Linked DNA regions of Arabidopsis thaliana. The protein of the gene in region 1 interacts with the protein of each later gene in a pairwise test. Each region holds a gene or a part of one and is shown in the gene's direction. Other genes may lie near its edges.

Evidence for each region.
Region 2: the proteins of AT3G13950 (region 1) and AT3G11530 interact in a protein complementation assay, tested with the Arabidopsis thaliana proteins (one large-scale study listed by BioGRID).

Annotation. Positions count from the first base shown.
Region 1 is NC_003074.8:4,602,360-4,606,322, forward strand, and holds AT3G13950 (ankyrin), read left to right. Parts: upstream 1-1,525; 5' UTR 1,526-1,789; coding exon 1,790-2,160; intron 2,161-2,583; coding exon 2,584-2,836; 3' UTR 2,837-3,154; downstream 3,155-3,963. Other genes in the region: AT3G13940 (DNA binding / DNA-directed RNA polymerase), read right to left, coding at 1-53.
Region 2 is NC_003074.8:3,627,761-3,632,139, reverse strand, and holds AT3G11530 (Vacuolar protein sorting 55 (VPS55) family protein), read left to right. Parts: upstream 1-1,603; 5' UTR 1,604-2,130; intron 2,131-2,235; 5' UTR 2,236-2,254; coding exon 2,255-2,287; exon of another isoform or gene 2,288-2,951; coding exon 2,952-3,076; intron 3,077-3,155; coding exon 3,156-3,339; 3' UTR 3,340-3,610; downstream 3,611-4,379.

The DNA of each region.
Region 1 (3,963 bases):
GTATTGAAATCTTCTTCCTCGTTTCTATAATCATTCTTCTCTTCGCCTTCCATGGCTACTGAGGTTTGGATTCTTTTAGTCTATCGAAGAAGCGGCAGCGATTCAGAGAAGGGTTTACTGGAAACTCACTAAATGCTTAAACCCTAATTTGGTTATGTTTCGGGAATTTATTACATAACAGACCCTTGTTGTTTGTCCGAGTCGATAAAGAAATCTTCACAGTTTTTTTTTTTGACCCCAAACTTTTAATTTGTTTAGAAAGATCTACACCGTTATAACGACGTCTACGGACTACGGAATCTAAACCCTGGCTTTTTCTCTTAGCTAAAACGACACGTAGTTCGCCTGAAACTTAGAAAACAAACACACGCTGTTTGCAAAGATCCCAATTTACATTGATCTACCTCCAAAGTATCTAAACTCTTCTTTAAAGCTTTGGCCACATAACCTTCTTTTAAGTTTTTTTTAACTATGGATTCTATTATCTTCTAATTTTTTCATCATTTCTAGACCAAGTTTCTATGCTGGAACAAATGTAAAATTTTGATCCAAGTACACCAAATTCTTAGTTCGTTTTTAATATAGATATTTCAGGTTAAGTGTATATTGGACTGATATCATCACAACTAGTTTTCACTTTTGACAGTGGACTACTATCGGATCGGTTATTCTTTGATTAGGGTTCTTTAACACGTTCTCTCTCTTTTTTTCGAGTCCAAAATAAAGTCTTGTCGTCCAACTAGCTAGCGTAGGATTTGGTGAACTTGGATACATATATTTTTATTCGTCGTCAAACTTACCTAGCAACAAAACAAGTAATGCTGTACTATTTTATTTTATTTTGATAATCACCTGATCACCTTACCCAGATACATATTTAAGCTGACGTATCAAATATTTGTGTAATATTATATGAGTAACATTTGCAGGTATGTATATCTAATAAAAAATTTAAGAAAAGAGTAAATCGTGGTGTGTGATGTTGATGTACGACCACAGTTTTCTTATGCCACTTACAACTTTTGTAATAGTTGAACATAAAAGAGCTAGCGTTGTGGATAGATAGATGAAAATTAATCTATACAATCGATTAATTAACATTGCCAATATTCAACCACTAGATCATGACTCTGTTACTTGTTAGTAGCTTAATTTATCATTATGTTGAAGATTTTATATGTACTAATGTCACTGTTCACTGTTGCGCAATTAATTAATGTTCTAGTTTTTTTCTCCGCAATTAACTAATGTTCAACTTCAACTTAATTTTGGTTTGTTGAATGGTATGCAACGACTGTTCTTTATCCGCTATATATCTTTATCTTTTTATACCACAAGTCGTATAAGTCATTAGATACAATGACAAGATGACAAATGTAGTACTATGAAAGAAAAGACACGTTGAAAGAAGAGTGACACAAATGAGAGATATGATCTCCCAGAGTCAAATTTGAGGTCTTGCGATTCTCCTATAAACCTCAAAAACTCTATTTAGTTAGAAATATATAAAAAATAACGACGACGCTTCTTCCCTAATGTCGCTATCGTTGACTGACTTGATCAGAATCATATAGTTCTCAAAGAGTAGGTTTTTAATTCCCGTACGTGATCAACAAACAAATGGTTTCAAATTAGACTTTTGCTGATCAAACCAGAAATTTCTATCTCCCTTTCCTTTTTTAAAAAGACTCGTTCTTTTTTTTCCTTTATAATCTCGACAAAGAGAGAAGTTACATATATAAATTTTAAGAATTATAACTCTTTTGTAAAGCATTCATCGCTTCAAATCATGGAGATCAACGGTCAAGAAGGTCATCGATACGAAGAATCATCATCAGAGTGGTTCGTAAAGTATCTAAAACGTCAAGGCGATTGGTTAGAGAAAACTAGAGGGAATCTTATGGTTACAGCTACGGTTATAGCCGGTATGAGCTTTCAAGTTATGGTTAATCCTCCCGGTGGCGTATGGCAAAGTGACAATTGTTCTTTCGGAAATCAAACCGGAACCGCACCGTTTTGTAAGGGGAGAGCGGGAACTGCGGTATTGGAATATGAGAGTTCAAAGCGTATAGCGTATATTGGGATGATTATTAGCAGTACAGTGTCATTTTCTACCTCAATGAGTCTCATTCTCCTTGTCATCAGCGGTATACGACTAAGGTACCAATAAATAAACTATATGTGCAACTCCATATAACAAGGCTACTTAGTATGTAAATTATTATAACTTGTTTGTATGTTAAGTCTGGAATTTTTATGTAACGCTTGTGTTTGACAAGATATTACTGAGAACTAAAAATAGTCATCTAAATTGAGATCTTGGTGTTGACTTTCGGTTTTAAGTATACCAACTATGTCGGCACAATGGTTGACTTAACATTAGCTATTTCAACAAAACTGGTCTGATTGGTAAAAATACTAATTCGATCGCTATTTGATTGGACTTTAAAACTATGGAAAGTTGATGACATATATCATAGTTATCTAATGGAATTTTGGTACACTCAGAATAAGTAGAGAAATTGTTTGGTATTAGAATAAACTAAAAGACACTTATATGATGATATAATTGTGTATATGAAGGAACCGGATGATAATGGCTATCCTCGGAACATTTATGGTGGTGGCGGTTCTTTGTATATCAGCGGCGTTCTTCTTCGCCATCGTGCTGGTTCAATCCGACGATCAAATAATTCGTTATATACTATTGATTTATGTGGGATTTTGGGTTGTATTTCCTGTTTTGATACTTTTAATCCAACTTGTTCGATTTATAGGTTGGCTTATTTGTTTCATGTGTTGTTGTTGTTGTCCACGTCGGCGACGGTTCCATTAGGGAGAGGTCCCATTAAGAAGAGAAGGAACCCGTGTTTCGAACCCACGTATGAATTTGGAACTTGATGTAGGAAAGTGATACTAGAATAAAAGTCTCCCAAGGACATTGTTATAACGTTTATTAATTCTATGGGTTATTTTTAAACTGTTTAATAAATGCATTTGATTATGTGAATCTTGGCAATTGTGTGGGTTGGTTTGTTGTAAAGTTAATTAATTGCGTGGGTTTGTACTGTTTAATAAATTCGTTTGATTAAAAATTGTATGTTCAAATAATGTGAATCGTGGCAATATCGCCTTGTGAATCGTGATTGGTGAACGATCGTGGTAATTTTTTTTTTTGCCAATAGTTATTCTTACCATGATCTTAGTCCAAATCGCTCGTATAACACAGTAATAAATAAATACAAAAAAAAAGAACAAAGAAAACAAACTAGAATGCGGTGCACACTAGAATGAAACATTACAAAAAACGATTGTGAGCATCTCGTTAATGGGAGAGATTAATATATCCGGAACAAAGCAATAAATATTTTCTCAAAAAAAAGAAGATATAATCATCTCAAAAAAAAAACAAGATAATTCTTTTGACGTAGAATATATAGTAAATAAAAAAACGTGGAATATAGCAATGTTTCATATATATATTCGTAAATCGTTGATTTTTATGTGATTGGATGGATGATGAAGCAAAAGTATTATATTCCCTTATATAAAACGAAGAATATCGTAAAGAACCCTCGAGGCCTAAAAGATGGTTAGGGTATAGACTATAGGCTATAGTATTAACATGTCAATTGTAAATGTCATGAAACTGAAAAAAGAAATAGGGAAAAGTGAGTCAAAGGGAGAAAAGGAGGTAGGTCTCTTGCCCTATAATATCTGCATTTACCCACCCATCATCTCCTATAATATAACCCATTTATAACTCTCCATTTTCTTCTTTTTTTGGTAAAAGTTTGAATTAACTCTTCATTTTCATTTTAATTAATTCGCTAAAAACATAATAAAAACAAGAAGAGAATAGATGATGATGATACAGATGAGTGACTAAAATGGAAATTTATGCACTAAAATGGAAATATCCCTTGGTCCAAAGGTCTTTCCACCTTCTTCTTCATAGCTTAA
Region 2 (4,379 bases), 970 kb from region 1:
TCAGATTGTTATTTTATTTTATTAGAAACGGACAAAATAGATAACAGTAATCATTTTGCAAAAATAAAAAGGAACAAGGTAAATTAATTAGTCATTGTAATAAAGAAACAAAAATCTCCAGATATGCAAGAAAATATATGTTTTATGTTTTATTTCATACAAAATCATCTGAATTATGTCCAGCCATTTAGGAGATTTGATGTTTTTTTCATGGACTATGAAACTAGTCTAGAGTTATAAAACCCTCTTGTCTAAAAAAAAAAAAACGTTATAACTTCTCTAGTTCTATTGAAGCCAGATTGATTGATGAGTTATGTTATTATTGACATATCTATCATTTACTCAATACACTCACACGTAGAAAAAAGTTGACTTCGAAAATATTGGTTAAAAGAAACTACAAAATTTGTTTTACTCACAAAGTTGATAATGTCCAAAACATAATTTTTCACGATTGTTTTATTTGGACAAAATAAAAATCATTGTTCTACCGAAAAATAAATAAATAAATTCATTCTCATTGTCTTAATTTTTTTACGAAATTATGAAGTGGGAAATGGATCAAGTAAGTTTCACAAGTGGGAGTCCAATAGTTAGGATCATGTCGGCCTCGTCCACTTGCGTTCTCCTTGATTTAACGATCACTTGCTTGTCTCAGGTCTCAACTAGTGGTGACGTCAATTCATTTGGTATTCATTGGACTATACACTTTTTTTCATTGTCAAATAATTGGACTATGCTACTTAAATAATATACAGCTACTCAGAGAGACTTTTACTCCAAAACGAAAGAGCCCCTTTTAAACAACACCTTATTATTTGGAGCAAAACAAAAAACAACACCTTATTTAAGTAAGAAATTAGTAATGGTACATCACAATGGCATCATAATGAACAACTGATAAACACTTTTGAATCGTCACCAGCAGCAGCATGTCATAAACGCACCAACCATGATAGCATAGATCGTGAGGTGCGCAATACCATTACTTCTCGAAGACATAGAAAGCATTGGAAACAACTTATGCTACTTTGGATCCATTAATCTCTCCTGATTAACTACTCTTTATCTTAACCTTGTTTTTATTTCTTTTTGCCAAGGTTAATTTAATTTAGGTAATACGTCTCTTGTAATACCAAACATTTCATTTCTAATGATATTTACATTCTTAGCAAAAAAAAGAAAAAAAAAACAAACAATGATAGCATAGATAGTGTATTATGATGGAGATTTACGTACTCTAACTAAAATTATGGAAACGAATCAACTCAACTTATGGTTGCTTAATAGTTTAATAATACTTTTTCGTTGATGCAGTTTCAATCATAGTTGATTGCATTTAAATAACAAAAAATGAAAAGAAAAAAATATTTAGCATTTCACATATTTTGATGATTGGTATGAACTTTGGTTAAAAATTTCAGTTATAAAATCATTTTTATTACGTATGATTTAGGAATGAGTTTTATGTGGTCCTTGCAACCCAAATTTTGATCGTAATTTTTTTTTCATGTCATTTAGTTTGTGATATTTTAAAATCGACTACTAGCTGTATTATCAAAACCACAATCCTGGAAACCAATTATAACCAAAATAAACCAACCAAACCAAAAAGATGAAATCGATGAACGGTGAGAAAACCAATTTTGACCGGTCACTAATTTTCATTTTGCTCTCAAATCGCGACTCCTCTCTGGGCTCTCTCCTTCTGTATCTCTCTAAGGGGAACAACGAAATCATCACCTTCTCTTTTATCGTCACCGGCGATCATTCAAGACTCGATCTCCGGTAATCAGAACATTTTCATTCGCCGACATGGCGATGACCATCGAAGGTAATCAATCACCTATCTTCCAACTGTATCATTTCCCGACGGAATCGAATCAGATTCAAGTCGATTTTCCCCTTTTACTTTTCTCCCTTGCTCTATGTTCATATATTCCATACGTATTAGAGATTGGTATTGATTTACTCAGATTATAGTTATTTTGTGCTTCGTGAATTGTTTAATTTTGTGAGCTAGGGTTTCTGGGTTTTGCATTGTTCAAACTCACTCATTGTTTGCTCTTTTCTAAATTTTTTCCGATGCTGATTTCTTCTGGAATGCTCAAATTGCTTTCTTGGTACAGTGTAAGTTCTAAGACTTGATGCTCTTTAATTACCCTTGTTGTTACATCTGCCAGTGTATTCTCGTGTGTCGTGATCTTACAGATTTTATTTTTCTTGATTGCACAGACTTGCTGGACTTGCTTTCATGTTTTCATCTAGTATCCTCCTACAGATCCTGGTACGTTTCTGAATATAGCTATCTGCTTATAACCCTTGAAGCTTGATCATAAGATCATGACTTAGTAGCTTTAAATCCTGCAAGAGATGGTTAGCTAGTTCTGCTGTTAGGTTGTGAGCTGAGTATACTGGTCTCCTTTTGTACCCTTGTTGATGTAGCAAACAGAGTTGTGAGTCTTTTGGCCCGTTTTACTGGGAGAGATACTCTGTGAAGTAAAGTTTGTTACATTCAAACCTTCTTTCATATTTGAAGTTTTGAGCTTTACTCTCTTGTAGTATGTTGACTAGCGATCTCTGGATCCCAAAAACCAAAATTACACTTAGAATTCTTATCCTTACAACACTATTTGACCGGAGCATATGGTAAGCTGGGGTCCTTAGCCGACCTCAATGTCTAACTTGTTAATTGACTTAGACTTTCTGAACAACTTCTATAAACTCAAGCATCTTCTCTCCTCAGCTTATATCAGGTCCTTGTATAGGTATAGTTTTTTTTTTTTTTTGCACTTCGATTAGAAGAAGAAAGGATCATCTGATTTACAAATCTGATACGTTTCCCATATTTTGTGATTTCCTTTGGTATACCTGGTTATACCATGCAATGAGTAACACGTGTTATAGTCATCTGGGAGATATAGTGATAACTATTTGTTCATAATGGTCAGGCATGCGCGATATATGGTAACTGGTGGCCAATGCTATCAGCACTCATGTATGTAGTGGTGCCTATGCCTTGTATGTTCTTTGGAGGAGGCTCAACCCAATTCCTTATTAGTCGGGACGGTGGAGGGTTAGTTACTAGAGACTTTATTGCTTCTTTGAGTTAAACGAAAGATCGATTACCAAATTGGCTCGTCCATAAAACGCAGGTGGATAGACGCAGCGAAGTTCTTGACCGGAGCATCGACCGTGGGAAGCCTTGCTATCCCAATCATCTTAAGGCACGCACAGATGATCGAGACAGGTGCAATGCTCATAGAGTTCACATCATTCTTCATATTCATTTGCACTGTCATGTGTTTTCACCGGGCTAGTCTCGATGATGACTGGTAACGTAGATGTTGCTGCTCGTGAATTACTAATTGGATTCGTATGAGAAAGAGAGTGTGAAGAAAAGATGAGGTTACTATGAGTGGTTAAGAAAGTTGTGTTCTTCTCCCTCTTTTTGTAAAGCTTTGTATCACTCAATGTTTGTAAAAAGTTTTATTCATCACTGTGAATCTTTTCCTGAAACTAAGTGCCAAAATATTTTGTTTCGCATGTTTAGGAAAAAGTTTAATTCATCATTGTGAATGTTCCCTAATCCCTAGATTAGCTTCGAGAGATTAACAAAGAACGGTTCAACTGTAACACGTGGTCATGAAATAATGTCCGAAGGCCCTTCAGATAATAAAAGCCCATGAACTTCATAAGGGTAGAAGCGTAATTTTAAAAGAGACCCCTTTCATATATATATCCTTGCGATTATTATTAGCCGTCATCGTCTAGGGTTGGTTGTTCTGCAATTTAGTTTTTTTTTTTTGTGTTTTTTATAATCTGCAGCATCGTTTCTTGTAATCTGAGGAATTGTTTTTCAGACTGCACGATCGTTTAATTTTGTTACGTTGGTTGTTTCTTTGAAGTGAAAAACGGCGAGGGATGATGATTCAATTAGATGTGCGAATGGTTTCATCATGAGCTCAAAAACTTTATTTGGCATTTTATAATCTGACTTCGCCGTCAACTCTTTTTTCTGTAATTTGGAGGAATGGTAAATGGATGATGATTCAATTAGATGTGCGAATGGTTTCATCATGACCTCAAAAACTCTATTTGGCAATTTATCTGACATCTCCCATTTCTCTATGTTCAATCCAATATATCTCCTTTATGTGGTTTTAACTCGATATTGTTTTATTGTCTGCGAAATGTTTGATAATGATGAGTTAACTTTTATAGAGTGTTACATAATTATTTTACTTATTCATATTGTAGTTACGCCATTGAAAAACAGTTTGATTGTTTATCTGTTTGGAGTTTGCGTTGATATATGATGTTTATCCCTTTTGTAATGATGTGACTTGCAAATTGCTATGTAACCTCAAGATTAAGCA